Linked DNA regions of Nothobranchius furzeri. The protein of the gene in region 2 binds, or shares a complex with, the protein of the main gene of each other region. Links are inferred from orthologs where the notes say so. Each region holds a gene or a part of one and is shown on either strand. Other genes may lie near its edges. The genes, in order: ppp1r8b and c17h9orf78.

Evidence for each region.
Region 1: c17h9orf78 (region 2) and ppp1r8b share a complex: the UniProt entries of both Homo sapiens proteins name them as parts of the spliceosome. The link is inferred for Nothobranchius furzeri from reciprocal best matches to the Homo sapiens genes C9orf78 and PPP1R8.

Annotation. Positions count from the first base shown.
Region 1 is NC_091745.1:72,000,155-72,004,571, reverse strand, and holds the start of ppp1r8b (protein phosphatase 1, regulatory subunit 8b), read right to left. Parts: upstream 3,061-4,417; 5' UTR 2,855-3,060; coding exon 2,805-2,854; intron 2,354-2,804; coding exon 2,293-2,353; intron 2,069-2,292; exon of another isoform or gene 1,903-2,068; intron 1,854-1,902; coding exon 1,700-1,853; intron 1,609-1,699; coding exon 1,391-1,608; intron 1-1,390. UniProt on the Homo sapiens protein: Inhibitor subunit of the major nuclear protein phosphatase-1 (PP-1). It has RNA-binding activity but does not cleave RNA and may target PP-1 to RNA-associated substrates. May also be involved in pre-mRNA splicing.
Region 2 is NC_091757.1:40,165,645-40,169,975, forward strand, and holds c17h9orf78 (splicing factor C9orf78 homolog), read right to left. Parts: upstream 3,006-4,331; 5' UTR 2,907-3,005; coding exon 2,827-2,906; intron 2,671-2,826; coding exon 2,611-2,670; intron 2,472-2,610; coding exon 2,420-2,471; intron 2,333-2,419; coding exon 2,262-2,332; intron 2,144-2,261; coding exon 2,066-2,143; intron 1,251-2,065; coding exon 1,053-1,250; intron 978-1,052; coding exon 841-977; intron 767-840; coding exon 662-766; intron 558-661; coding exon 460-557; 3' UTR 121-459; downstream 1-120. Other genes in the region: NFU1 iron-sulfur cluster scaffold homolog, mitochondrial, read left to right, coding at 3,075-3,133, 3,726-3,826, 4,022-4,157. UniProt on the Homo sapiens protein: Plays a role in pre-mRNA splicing by promoting usage of the upstream 3'-splice site at alternative NAGNAG splice sites; these are sites featuring alternative acceptor motifs separated by only a few nucleotides. May also modulate exon inclusion events.

The DNA.
Region 1 (4,417 bases), on a different chromosome or scaffold from region 2:
AAGCTTAATAAACAAAGTCAAAATGCTGAAAAATCAACAGTAAAAAGCAAACAAACAAAAAAAAAAAGAAAATTGGAGATGTCGGGAAAAAATGTGGTGCAGTTAACTCATTCACTGCCAATGACGTCGTCATTTGCATTTTTTTACTGTTTGAGCATCGGCACGAGCCCCCGCCCTGAGAGAACAAACATCTCAGCCCTGAAGCTGATCTTCATCCGCATACGTCACATATCACGTGATCAGGAAGCAGAACATCCATGTGTTAGGAGATCGTTTTGGGCCGTTCCTGTAAAAAAAAGTGAGGCGCGAACCGGAAAAGCGTCTGCCGATCACAATTCGACAACGGATTATGAAAGAACGGATAATGCTCGAAACACACGGCTTCTTCCTGATGTAAGAGGTGAGTCTCCTCTTTGTTTTTGGTTGTTTTGGCATTGACATCATGCTAGCGCGCAACGTTCTGTGACTCTTAAAAAAAATCATAAAAATGGTGAGAAACGCTGGCAGCGAAGGCCGTTACCCCCAAATTCCACTACCTCCATTCCGCTCTGGTCCGGTCCGCCCCGCCTTCCGCAGCCGCTCGCTTCCAAACTCAATTTTTACTGGTACCCGCTCTACAACGGCTCCGCTCCGGTGCGGAGACCTGAGGTGGGCAAACAAGCATGCACGGGATTTTCGAGATCTTGCGATACAGTCCGAGCAATAAACGCGGAAGTTAGATCCAAACACCCGTTGTGTGGGAGAAGCATCGGCATGAACTGTTTAATCTGCCCATCATTTGTGTTGAGAGATCAGCAGTGTTTGGATGAACAAAGTGTGACTACTTTGATAGTAGAAACTGTATTTATGGCTTACTTTTGTGCATTTAAACTTCAGCCGCCACTGATAGTTGTTAAAAGTTGTTAAACCTGTGCATATGAAACAAAAAACGCCTTTTTTTATCGATTTATTGTGAAAAACGGAAGTTGTGCTTGCTCCTTTTCCTGTTGGGCGGTTGTGATTTCTGTCCATTTACTGCGGAGGTGCTCCGGCGTCCGGCGAAAATAGGATCGATTCTATTTTTGCCGGACGCCGGAACAGAGGGCAGCGCACTGCGCCGCATTGCCGGAGCACGGCCGCAGTAGTGGAATTGCTCTGATTGACTACAACGGGACCGATTTTGCTCCGGCGTTCGTGTCGGAGCGGAGGTAGTGGAATTTGGGGGTAAGTGATCAGGAAACGGCTGGCAGTGAGTGAGTTAAAAAACCAAACACACTGAGATCATTTCACACTGTGGCTAATTTGCATACAAATAATTCCATTAAGATGCCACAAGCGCAAAACAGGATGTCAAAACAAGTCAAGAGTAACAAGCGGCGAGTCAGTGGAGCTGATCTGAATTCTAACAAACCTCCAACTCTGTCTCTTCCTCCGGAAGCCCGAGCAGTCCTTTTAGCTCCTCCTCATCTCCTGTCTTACTGTCGCCGGTGCCAGCGCTTCCTTGGGTTTGGGGTTTTTCTCTGATGGTGTAGGTACGTGTTGACGCCCCGAAGGATATTGTAGAGTCGATTGGAACCTGCTGAGGCTTGTGAGGCTCAAGGCGAATGTGTCCGAGGAAGGTACCATGTGCTTAAATTGTAAAAAAATAATAATAATTAGGATTAATACATTAAAAGAGCAGAGTGACTGAGAAATAATTAAAGTGTTTGTGAAATCTTACTGCTATTAAGATCTATAAGGAAGAGCCTTTTTAGGTGTTTATGGTAGACTAGAGCGGCGTGAACACGCGAGCACGACTGATGGTCGATGGTGAAGTCACACCAGTCGGGGTTCCTACCAAACAGGTAGAACTTCTTTTCATCTATGATCAGTTTCTACAAGGAGAAACGGATGGTGTGAATTAGTAATGGCGTACATTAATGCATTTGTGCCTCTGAGTTATAACTCAACAGTGTTGCTTTCCACTGAAGGGCTTAAATCTCAGGGCTGATGTTGTTCTCGCACCTTTTGAAGCCATGCAGTCATAGGTTAACCCCATTGTGCAACACGCACAGGGCGGAGCAGACTGTCAGGCTTGTATCTGGTGCTTTTAACATTTGTACAATAGTAACAATCACATGTGTGTTCTGCTATGTGGAAAACAGAATCATTAGATGTTTAAAATAATAAGGAATGACATTTTATTGTGGAATTTGCTTATGTTTAAGAGATTAAACAAATCTGGATTTTTAACTTAGAAATTAAATAGAACTGAGATAATTAAAGCTGATTTTAAAGAGTCCAAACTAAATAACAGTTTAAATTTCCAGTTACCTCAACCAGTTTGTCTCCTTTCATCACGTCTAAGTGCAGTCCTGTGGGCGGTTTTCCTCCCCTATAAGAAACAATTAGAGACTTATTTAAACACTGAACTGATCTCAGAAAATACAGCAGTGCATAAATATATTTACAGCATATTTAACCATTTTATAATCTAATTTTAATTCATTTATTCAAACATTTAGCTCTTTTCACTCGAACCGAATACTTCAAGAGCATATCTGTCAAAAAATGTCCTGCTGTCACCTCTATACGTTTCAACTAGGTGAGAAACTTTTAAAATCAAGCCTTTCATTCATTTTCAAGCAGAAAGCAAACCGTGATCCGCATTTAGGCTAGCCTTGTAGGAGGGGTTAGCCTGCTAGCTCGATTGGATGCTAACGCTAACGAACTTCTTTCCTCTATAAAAGTTACAATTGTTAACGTAACAACGTCGTTTTGCTCGTTTGCACATAATCAAGCGCTGCAGTTGGTATTTTAGTACTTCAACATGTGCATTTTCTCACCATGATGGGCAGTCAAAAGGTGGACCGTCTTTGCTTGTTTTAGCTGCCATCTTCCCTCTACATGTTAACGATGCATTTTGGGTAATTGTCGCTTAGGAATGCTGGGAAATGTAGTCCGGTAATAGACCACGCCATATTAAAAAAAAGTAAAAGTACAAAAAACAAGCTAATATTTCGCATTTATAGATGTGGTTGTGTGTGGAACTTATATATTGTTGAGTTTATGATTAAATTCGGGTTTTAGAGTTAGTATGAAGTAGTCTACTAAAAATAATAAAGAAAAAAGTTCAGGTAAGTCACATTTATAGTTCATAAAAAACACTAATTTTATCATCACAAATCTACTACTGTGTGTAAAGTTGCAATTTGTTATCAAAAGAGAACATTAACGCGCAACAGGGGCGGAAACAGCTACTCACCTAATAATGATTAAATAAAAACAAATTATATAATTTCAGTCCAATTCTGTTAATATTAAAACAATAGACCTTAAATGATAAGTTTTTCTTTATACTGGAAAGATAATGTACATCATAACAACATAGTTTTGTTTAATGTAAACTGATTCTGTTTATATGTTTCAGACAGATGGAGGTGACAAATTTTACTTTTACTTAAGCAGCTTCTCTTCAGCCCAACAAAAACACAAATCAAGCACACGCAAGGGTGCCCCCAAGGGTGGCCAGGGGTGGCCATGGCCACCCCTAGAAAACAGCTTTTTAGTGCATTTTGTGTGACACAGCCAGATGTTTTTATTTTAAAACTTTTAACCTTTATTTAACAAGACAAAGTATTTCTTACAACTGTGGCCAATCCAAAGGTAGTGCCTTTTGACAGAAGGATGGGCTAAATTGCAAAAGTTACCTTTTCCACAAAAACAAAACAAAAACAATATTTTACAAGAACATCTAGATTGAGATGACTTACGGTTTTCTGTTTGAATAATTTAAGTAGCCCAAGACATTTGAGCAGATTCATTCAGATGATAATTTTAAAAGCCACTATTTTATTATTTGATAAAACCAGGCCATTTGTTTAACCAACAAGGATTTATCTCAAAGTCCATTTAGAAATGTTCATTAAAAAAAATTAACATTAAAAATTTGTTTGGTGTTTTTTAATGTTTCAAATAAGAAAAAAAAATGTCCTTTTTGTTTTAAGAGATATTAACATGTATTTGTCAAAAATGTGGCTTTTATAAAATTTAAAGTTCCTAAAGAAACCACTGGAGGTCTCTGAACTCCAAATTGCAAATTCTCAGTAAAGACCCAAAAAATAAAGTTTTGAAAAAGTTTGAAATGTTGGTTTGGAAACAGCGATACCACAAGCCTCCTACAGCATTTGTTACAAAGATTCAGCACCTAGAGTTTAACACAGAAAAGGGATGAATAAGTAGCCAGATTCGACTGACGCTTTGCTTATTTTCTCTTTCTGATTTGTAAACTGTGGGTTTGAGGGTCATAGGCTTCGGTCTTGTCATAGAAAAAGTAAAGCTGCCATACTTTTAGTTTCTCTTTAAAGCAGAAGGAAATGAGCCTGCAGTCTTTTTGTCCTTTTACAAATAAACTAATGCCATCAAAGTTCCCTTATAAATGATAAAACACAAAAAAGAA
Region 2 (4,331 bases):
AAAAAAAACGACATTTACATTAAATTTAGCTCAAAGCAGAATACTTACAGTTCTTTGTTTACATGTAAACCACTTAAATTAGCTACTTTTTATTTTTAAGATAAACATGGCAGCCAACAGTTCAGCTTTGGGTTTTTTATTGCTTAACGTCTCATTTTCAAGCAGCTGCTCTAGTTATTCCATCTCATTAGCTAAGTGCATCACTTTTAAACTTTAGTATGGTTCTTGTTTTAAAAAAACAAACCGAGATATATTTTTACACACTTAATAATTGAACAGCCAGCTCTAAAATACTGTAGACTTAGAGTGAAGCTAAAGCTGCTGACTTGTTTGAAAAACCAAACAGGAAATCACACAAATCTGGAGCTTCAACATTTTGGTCAACAAATGTTTTCAATAATAATTAGCAACGGCTCACATTTTCAGATGCCATTGTGTGGAGGAAACAGATGCAACTTTTTAATATCTTCGGTTCATCTTCTTAAACTTCTCGTAGTGGTAGTCATCCGTGGCCTTCTCGTTGTTTGGACGTTTGCGTGGGTTCGGTGGCGACGGAGCTACGGACAGACAAAAGAAACGAGTACAGGTTTTGGTTTCTGGAAAAAAGGAACCAAAAAGTGTTTTTGGTTTGTATCTGTGACTGTGTGGTCGTGTCTCGTACCCTCTGGGCCTGGCTTCTCTGTGTCGCCCACTCGCAGCGGTCTTGCTTTGGGCTCTTCTCTGTGTCTGTTGTGCCTTTGTGGTGCATTTGCATCCTCATGGTAGACTAAAAGAAAACAAAAGCATGATTAACAAACTTTTCTCCTCTAGCTGGAACGGATGCAGACAGCCTGAACTCACAGCGGTTATGTTGGACATAATTAACAGCAATATTCGTGGGAACAAACGACGTCCCGAGGTCTTTCTTCTTGTTCCTTTGCTCTGCCAGAAGTTTGGCTTTTGCCTCTTCTGTCTGGATAATGTTTTTAATCTTTGCACTGAGAATGAAACGACAGGGATTAATTTGAGTAAAATAAAAAGAGCTGAATTATTAAAGAATCTTCTGAATTTACTCAATGCCAAGGTCAACCTCCGGGATCCCACTCAGCATCTGATTGGACAACATCTCCTCTGTCTTCTTGGCAGAGTTCACTCGGATGTTCTCAGGAAGTTCGTACAGGTGGTCCTCTGCATTTTTCACCTTAATTTTCTGTTCCTCAGCCTCCACCAGGCCTTTCTTCTTTTTTAACTCTGTCTCAATATATTTCATCCTGTAAAGAAAAACACAATGGGAAATGTCCCACACGAACAACTGGATGGCAGCTACGTTAAGATTTTGAATACTAACTTGTAGATACTTAAATATTTAGTAACAAAGTTCATGTAATTCAAGAATTGAGATTGCTTTTCCAACTTTCTTTAGTAGAATAAAAAGCCTTTTCTTAAAATGCTGAATGAAGCCAGCCAGTAACATGCTAACAAAAGTTCCAACACCATTTCATCTCAGACAAAAGCAGTCTTTGTAGTTTGACTGATTTTACAGTCAACATTAACAGCTGGTTAATTCAGGGGTTGGTGCATAAATTGTTTTGTTGAGCAAAATTTGATTTCTGACAAATACTGACACTATTTTAGTTGTTTAAAGAGATGAAAACCCAGGTAAACACCAGTGTTATTTCTTGTCCAGGGCAGCCATTGTTGGACCAAACTTGTTTTTAATTTGTTTTCTTTGTGGAAATTCAACTTTATTATGTATGATGGAATATTTTTTGCCAGACGGAGGAAATCAACTGAACACCTTCCTTTTAGGGCTGGGCGATATGGCCTAGATGGGGCTGTCACATGTGTTAGGTTGAGTCACATTTTGGCTCAGGGTGGTACAGCTTCTTAAAGGGACATGAATGTTGACGACCTACACACACCTCTTAATTTTTTTATTATTGAATTTCTTGACATGAGAAAAATTATCTCAAAAGTCAGAAATTTCCGTTAGAGAGGAAAAAAACAGAGCACAATTTAAATAGAGGTTGGACAATGTTGAGTCTGAAGAGGAAATGATTATAATACAGTTTAAAGAAAAGCTCACATGTCTGCATCTTCATCCCTTCTGTTGGTCTCGGCGGAGAATGAAGTGCCCAGGCTGAGGTCGGTTTCATCTTCTGTCCTGTTAATGAATCATCCTGGATGAGTCAGTCATATCCGATTAACTGGATTTGGTTTAATTGTACAAAGCATTCAGGCAGGTATCTATGTTGCACCTGAGGGTGGAAAACTTGACTCACATGTCTCTATTCCTGTCTTTCACTTTCTTCATGTCTACAACTCCTCCCGTCTTCAGTTTGAAAGGATCATTCTGTCAGAAGTGATCAATAAAAAAGTAAACGTTCAACATGTTGCTATTCAACACACACACACATTTTTTTTTCCAAAGAAAACTTACATCAATTTCGACTTCTGGAGGCAGTTTCTCTCCCACCAATAAAGCTGTCACACTAGACAAAAAGTAAAAGGTGTAAGTTAATTCACATCCAAGCAGTTAAGTATTGACATTAAGCACAACTAATTGCTTCTGTGTGAAACGTGCTACATAATAAAGATGTCTTCCATTCTACATTCATATTAACATGTTACCTGACTCCGCTCTGTCGTTTCCTCAAACTCTGAAGTTCTTTAGCCTCTTCTACTTTTGATCTAAGAAAAAAAAATACAAAAGCACAAACATATTTAGGTAGGCAGCTTATTAAAATACAACTAACAACAATGGCGTTCTGTTACTTTAATTTTGGGTTAGCGGCTAGTTTGCTAACACAACATATATCTTAACAACTCGTTGTTCGAGTATTTTACCTGACTTCTTCTGTTGTTTCATCCTCCTCTTCATCATCCGACGAATCTTGTCTTCTTCTAAAATGCCTACCACAAGGCATATTTAGATAGTTTAACGTAAATATTTGAAGAAGCAGCGCCTTACTGCGCGTAAGCTTGACGCTGATAATTTCGGGGGGAAACTTTAACAGACGTACAAAAATATTCGTCACTTCCGGAAAAGTATAATCTACTTCCGTTCTTCTTGAAGGATCACAACCATAACAATCATGGCGGCTTATAAACACGTTAGCGGGTTGTTGGGGATTTCTGCTAGACTTTCACGACCGTAAGTGGATATTTTGCAGGATTTTACCTTCTATTGTGTTTAATTTTTTTTCTTTTACTTTTTGCAACATGTGAGTCATTTCTATGCGACTGTGTTTAAGCTTGTTGGTTTAGTGTGGAATGACGCAGACTAAACATTAGGTCTGGAAACGAGGAATGTTTCATTACGATGTTTTTTCCCATCAAAAATGCCCTTAAAGTAAAATTAACACTAAACAAACCTGCATAAATGTAATAAATTTTTATCTTGCATCCATCTTTTTGATCATTTTTATTTAGTAGGGGAAAAAATACAAATCACCAGAACAAATGTGCAGAACGCGTTTTTAAAGCGTGCTGAAACAACTCTGTCATCGCGCCATTGCCTTTTTATTAATGTTTTGCTTTCCTTAGTTATAGCATTTGTATTTGATTTGGTGTTCCTGTTCAGTGTAGGAGCTTGTTCGCACATCTTCTAAACAGGAGTTTACCCGTCTTATTATTGCCACATTTTAGTGACGGTAAAGAAATCGTCCCTACACACAACAGCATAATATTTTTTATAATAAAGAATGTTTTTTTTATATTACTGTTTATCTGTTCATTATTTTCAGTCTTGTTGGCAGTGGATGTCAGAGCAATGGATTCCACTGGCCCTCGCAAGCTACTGGAGTTTCAAACAGATGGCCACAAAACCCCTTCTGGACTGTTCCTGGTTTGTTTATTTGCTGCAACCTCTAGTGTGACTTTTTATTAAATAAGAGTGATTGTCTTTTATTGTCACGTTTTCCACAGTGATGTCAGATGCTTAGGTGTTGTGAGAAAATCGGGCATTCTGCACATGCAGAAAATGACCACAATTCTCTTGTAGCCCTTTTTAAAAATTTGCATTACATTTTTTATGTTACAGGAAGGTCCATGTTTGTGCAGACACAGGATACTCCAAATCCAAACAGTCTAAAGTTTTTGCCTGGGCGGACAGTTCTCGAAGAGGGAACCATGAATTTTGCAGGCCCTCGTGATGCTTACTGCTCACCTTTAGCCAGGTATTTCCTAATACAAGATTACTAATCTCATATTAACATATCAAGTTGTTTCCTTACTCTGAGCAAACTCTGTACCAGGGGGTACCTTGTTGTATGTTTGCCAATATATGCATATTGTATCCACTTAACTGAGAGAGGCTTGTCTAAATGGTGGAAGCAACATTTTTTACTGTC